Linked DNA regions of Mus musculus: region 1 is reported to be linked to region 2. The links are microRNA targets in miRTarBase. Many come from high-throughput screens and were not tested one by one. Region 2 holds a microRNA gene; the other region holds the end of a gene's coding sequence.
The links. Region 2 holds the annotated microRNA mmu-miR-1904 (GUUCUGCUCCUCUGGAGGGAGG, at 2,146-2,167, shown strand). A microRNA usually pairs through its seed, bases 2 to 8, with sites in the 3' UTR of a target mRNA and lowers its output. Matches are read on the target gene's strand: a 7mer-m8 pairs with bases 2 to 8, a 7mer-A1 pairs with bases 2 to 7 and ends in A, and an 8mer does both.

Region 1: miRTarBase lists Bcas2 as a target of mmu-miR-1904. Seed matches in the 3' UTR shown: 7mer-m8 at 779-785 and 7mer-A1 at 1,033-1,039.

The regions. Positions count from the first base shown.
Region 1 is chr3:103,177,921-103,180,980 of GRCm38, forward strand. It overlaps Bcas2 (breast carcinoma amplified sequence 2), which reads left to right. Exons shown (of 7, transcript NM_026602.4): 7 at 435-1,243. The coding sequence ends at 561. Among named protein-coding and RNA genes, the nearest start is that of Bcas2, 7.8 kb to the left of the region's middle.
Region 2 is chr13:109,901,674-109,904,673 of GRCm38, forward strand. Mir1904 (microRNA 1904) reads left to right here and starts at 2,136; the gene lies at 2,136-2,215. It overlaps Pde4d (phosphodiesterase 4D, cAMP specific), which reads left to right. Exons shown (of 17, transcript NM_011056.3): 8 at 1,904-2,016.

The sequences.
Region 1 (3,060 bases), not on the chromosome of region 2:
CACAGCTCTCTCCACGCTAGTGCTCTTTACATTTGTCCTGGAGATTTAGTTACAGGAAATAGTGGCTAAGGCTATGGGGTTTGGTGGTAGTGGTAGTTTGTTTTGTCAATTCCAGAATTTTGTCCATCGTGTAAACCTCTGCCTGTGTTCTTTTAATCTTATGCTGTTTTCCTGTCTCTTCTGTCTCCCTGAGTCTCTTGTTTCTGCTTATTTCTTAAGGTAACTATCATGAGACGATTGTTGGGTAACTTAAGTAATGCAGAGAGCCCCTGTGTACCCTTCCCCTGCTTTCCCATAACGTTGTTTTTTAATGGAAAGTTAAAAATGTTAGTGCCCATAGTGAAACTACATATGTTTAAAATAAACTGTGCAAGAAATTTTACATCCGCTCATTTTTCCCTCTTCTCTCTTTTTCCTTTGACTCTCTTTCCTAGCTGGGTGTCGCTGGTGAGTAAGAACTATGAGATTGAGCGGACGATTGTCCAGCTGGAGAACGAGATCTATCAGATCAAGCAGCAGCACGGGGAGGCCAACAAGGAAAACATCCGCCAAGACTTCTAATGACTCAGGCGACGTGGGCTCCGCAGACTCAGCGGGGACTTTCTCGGAGCGACTGTGGTGGTTACATGGTTAGAGACCATGGACTATGTAAACTGTTGTATTGCTTCTGTGTGAGTGTCTTAGCAAAATAAAGTTGTCAACATGTTGCTGTTTTTATGCTATAAAAACCTGGTTTTCAGAATGAGTATGACTTTAGAATAATTTTGACATATTTTGTAGCAGAATTTTTTTTTTAAGGCTTCAAATTTTGTAATGAAGCTCCTTTATTTTTAAGGCATCCAACATGTTCTGGAAGCTGGAAACCTTGAATTTGTGTTTTTTGTTGAATAAAGTTACAGTTCTAAGCATTTTTATGTGTGGCTATAGTGAACTTTATTGATGGTATTCAAAAGAATGAGGCTCCCTTCTAGGGATCTATGATAGAAATAGGTGTAGTGAGAATTGTGGAATTTTGGATTCTTTTTTAAAAATGCAGAAATATAAGAATATGTTTTGGGCTGGTGAGATGGCTCAGCGGGTAAGAGCACCCGACTGCTCTTCCGAAGGTCCGGAGTTCAAATCCCAGCAACCACATAGTGGCTCACAACCACCCGTAATGAGATCTGATTCCCTCTTCTGGAGTGTCTGAAGACAGCTACAGTGTACTTACATATAATAAATAAATAAATCTTAAAAAAAAAAAGAATATGTTTTCATTTTAATCCCAGGTGTGGGTATATGGGGCTGCTTTGAAGCAACTGATGTGCCTCGTGCTCTAGTAGAGGCATGGTTTGCCAGCTGCAGGTAGTTTCTGCAATTGGGTGACATTTGGGATAATGGAAACTTTTCACAGGGATATAAAGTCTAAGGCCCCAAGAGGCAGTGTTGGTTGTGGTTTGTGAGTAGTCGTGTTCAAAGAAGAAGCAAGAAGAAAAATTAGATTCAAGTCTCTCGCACGCTCTTTCTCACTCACCTTTCCTTCTTTCCTAACTAGTGATAGCGGTGAAGGCCAGAAGGATAAAAGGTGGGAGAAAGAAGAACCCACAAAGTAGCAAAAGCCAGCTGTAGTGGGAGATGCTCAGTGTTGGGGGCTGGGCTGAGTTGGGACAGGGACTCCAGCAGCAGAGGCCTCTGTCTTCCTCTCTGCCCTGCTGGGACGGCTGGGCTGGTTCGGGCCTTCTTACTCCTTGGAGGCCATGAAGGAAGTGAGTTGACAAAGGTGCTGAGGTGACGCAGATCCCGCATCAAAGGTGGGATCATGGAGACAGTCTTGTCCTCAGCCCAGGGTGCCCTTCACGTGTTCACTTTATCGATGTCATCGTATATGGAGCATATGGCTTCTTAGATCCACAATGGACACACTGCGGGATGGAACACAGGCGGCCAAACCAATGTGTTACCCATTTAGCTCTGGGATGAGCATGTCTACACCCTTAGCAGTGCCAGTGGATATAAGGATACTTTAGGCAGTCCTGTGGCCTAAAACATTTATGGTCCTCTGAGTTGTGATGGTTTGAATTGTGATCATAAGTCCCTTGATGGTGCTAGGTGTGGGGGTTAAACAGTTGGTGATGCAAGAGGTGTTACTGACAGTCTTGAGCTAGTCATACTTCTCATGGTTCACACCCATCACAAACATGATCAGCAGAAGGGGCAGAGGTGATGACACTTTCAGCTCCACCCTTCAAGTGGGCTTTGTTCACCATGGTGGTAAAGATGCCAGTAGACTCCATAACATATTCCACACTGTCATCACCTCATTTGATGGTGGAGTGTCACTGCGGGAAGGTGGAAATGGCCTTCCCTTTGAGTTTCCCATCCTGAGCCTTGATTGCTGTGGAGTATGCCATGGCTAGAACTGCACTGGAACACCTTGTCTTTGTAGTCAATGAGAGGTCATTCATGGCAACAGTATCCACTTTACCAAGAGGTGAAGGCAGCCAGGAGCCCTGCATAGCCAAAGCCAGTCACTCAGACCTTCATGGTGTCTCAGACTGGACTGGACTACGCAAGAAAATGCTGCTGTCTCTGATGGAGTGTTTTAATTAATGTTGGATTGTCAGAAGTTGTGAAGTGAGGCTGCAGTGACCTCTTGATAGTATGGATTATTCAGACCCTGGAATTGGTTTGTGGTATTGTCAGGTCCCAAAGGAAACTCCAGTTCCTGGAACTGCAAGAGGCAGTGCAAGTGTCCAGCAGCGACAGTCCTGACTTCCCTCAAGCTTAACTTCAGAGCGGTTGTTGGCAGTTAGGTAAAAACCAGCATTTCTCAGGAATGTGTGACACAGGCTCAGCCAAGACTGCATTTCCCTTACCTCTGACAGAAGGGACATATGGCTCTTCATTTGACATATACCTGTGGCCGCATATCAAAGCCCATGCTGGCCTCCAGGCCCCTCAGTCCCTGTTCATACATAGTTGTTATATACCTCAGGATCCATGCTGGACTTCCTCCCTCACTACCTCCTCTACCCTAAGCTCCCTCCCCCAGCTGCTGGTCATCCTTACGTTTCCATTCCC
Region 2 (3,000 bases):
AAGCAAGTCTCACACACTCTAAAAGTTACTGAAATTTTTACAAATGTAAGGAAATCTCAGAATCCTGAGATTCAACCCACCGCATTCTTTGTCCCGCCTGATAATTAATGGAGCCTACATTGGGGCAGAACTTCTTTCCCCCACAATACTGTAGATCAGAAGGGGAAAAGGAGAACCCCACCACTTCACATAAGGCTTTTCCTTTCTCCTGCCAGTTTTGTAGGCTAGACCCCTGGGGTTTCAACTTTTCTCTTTCTGAAATAAGATTGCTGTTCAGTTTCGGAACTGACCGGCTTAGGGAAAGTGGCCAAGTTCCCTGCGTCAGCTTTTATCAGCAGAACCCATTGCCCCATAGTTCTGACAGTCCATTTCGTCCATAGTGGGCAGAAAACAGACTACTAGACTTTCTGTCTTGAGCCCCAAGTCTAGGGTGTTCTTGTGTTTTCTGCAGAGGAGACACCCCAGCAGGGCATGTGTAAATTCCCCTTGCTCCTTGGTTCGTTCCCATTGCTGTTCCTTTAAGGTAGCTCTAGGGTAATTCTGAAGGTGAAATGTAGCCTGTTGTCACATTCTAAGGCATTCTGTCCCCACAACATTATGGTTTGTCTGTTTACATCTAACCCAAATTTTAGAGGGGTTGGCTGGATACTGACAGTCTGTCCCCAGTAGAGACGATTTTATTCCCACAATTCCCTTTGAGTAAGTAAATCCTAACCTTTGGGACACAAATCCATGGAAACTCGCAAACTTAAATTAAACCTGCATGCAGAAAGGGTAGTGCCTGTCCTAAGTCACCTTGCAACCCAGGACAGCAGGGCCTGGCAGGCGGCGCTGGGATAGAGGGCCCGGGACTCCGCTGTGCACCCCAGGGTCCCCCGCGGGGCAGGTGCGCGATTGCACGCGCCTGCGCGCTGGGGGCCAACCGAGCCCCGCCTGAGCCCCGCGGGGACCCCAGGCGGCGGGCGCTCCACGCCGGGTTTTCCGCTGCTCTGGTGCAAGACAGCTCCACAGCAGCGCTGCACACACACACACAGATACACACACAGATACACACACAGATACACACACAGATACACACACAGATACACACACACACACACACACACACACACACACACACACACACACACACACACAAACACACAGATACACGCGTGCGTGGCTGCGCCTCCCTCCGGGCTGCGCTTCAGAGCAGCGGCGCCGGCTGCCTTGGGGCGATGCCGCGGCGAGGTGGCGGGGAGGGCGGTCCGGACGGCTTATTGCAACTCGGAACCCTTTCGTAAGGAGTCGCGGGGGAGCCAGACAGCGCCGCGGGGCCGCGAGGGGCGCAAGGGGGAGTGTTCCCGGAAAGCCAGCATGGAGCGGCGCTGCGCCCGCCCGCCCGCGGACTTGAGCGACAAAACAGGAAACGGCGGCCGCAGCTGATTCATTCGCTTCGCGCGTGGGGCTCGCGGCAGGCGGCGGCGTGGAGCCCGGGGCTGCGGGACGCGGACGTCCCGGAGCCGCTCGCCGGTCTGCGGGGCGAGCCCCTGCTCCCACCCCCTCCCCCCGAGCCGGCCACCAGGGGCAGCATCCCAACGCAGGGAAGCCCGTGCTCGCGCGCCACTGAGAATCCGCCCGCCGTCCCCGTGCCAAAGTTGGCCTTGCAGCACTTTGCGCCCCTCCCTGGAGGCTGACCCGCGACGTCAAGCTGGAGCATCTCAGCCAGCCTGAGCCCGGCCCCACTAGTCCAACCTCAGCCCCCCGCGCGCCGCCGGGCCCTGCAATATGAAGGAGCAGCCCTCATGTGCGGGCACCGGGCATCCGAGCATGGCGGGGTACGGCAGGATGGCCCCCTTTGAACTCGCTGGTGGTCCCGTGAAGCGCTTACGAACTGAGTCCTCCTTTCCCTGTCTCTTCGCAGAGGAGGCCTACCAGAAACTGGCCAGCGAGACCCTGGAGGAGCTGGACTGGTGTCTGGACCAGCTAGAGACCCTGCAGACCAGGCACTCCGTCAGTGAGATGGCCTCCAACAAGGTAAGCCCCTGTTCTGGTTCTGGTGTCAGTGACGCGGCTAGACTGCTGTTTCCCACGCTGGGGAATCACCGATCCCTGTGACCTGGGGAAATACAGAGAAAATTTTGTCACGTTGACTGCAAGTTAGCTGTTCTGCTCCTCTGGAGGGAGGTTCCTGTTTGCACACCTCTCTTCAGGTAGATTAAACATTTTATTTGCAAAACCAACTTTGGCAGAGTTCGAGTATCCCTAGGACGAAGGGTCCTTAGAGTGACATTTTGCCCTTGAAGCAGAAACCCAGTAGGGTCTGGTGGTGGCGTTGCATATCATCAAAGGCACTGCTTAAGATTGCTTGTTGGAAAAAAGCGTTGCAGGACTCAGTGAAGGCACCAGGACGCCACCTCCTACCTCGCTGAAACTCTGAAGAGTTCACTGAACTTGCAACCCTCACTCCCATTTCTCTGGTTCTCAGGGTACCTTGGGAGGATGGAGCCTTTAAATATTCTGTTCCCTGTATGTACCATCTGCAGAGAACAAAGTTCGGAGGGTCTTATGCTGCCTTTGTCTCCTTCGGTCTTGGAGAACAGGTCCAGGTTTCTGAGGTCATTTAGCCGCCACTAGGCTTCAGCTGGGCATTTGTGTCATGTGTGCCAAAGCGCTGCTGGTCTTGGCAATTAATGAAGTAACCTTCAGCATCAGGCAGCTGTTAAGCAGCTTGGGAGATAAGGTAGAATACTTCCAGAGTTACATGTAAAACAACAAAATCATGTGTTTTACGTCTTCGGCTATGCAAAGAAATAATTGAGATTATGTGTTTTTTAATGACCGGGTGGCCTAGGGGCCAGGGAAGGAGGCTTCTACGTATTTGATGCAAACGGCCGAACGAGTCAATCAGGATCTGTGGCAGTTAGAAGGAGTTGTCTCTGTAGACGGTTCTTGTAGTTTTGGACACCTCTTTACAAGGTCAAGAGGGTGGTGACATTTTGCCTCTTGTATCCCTGTCTG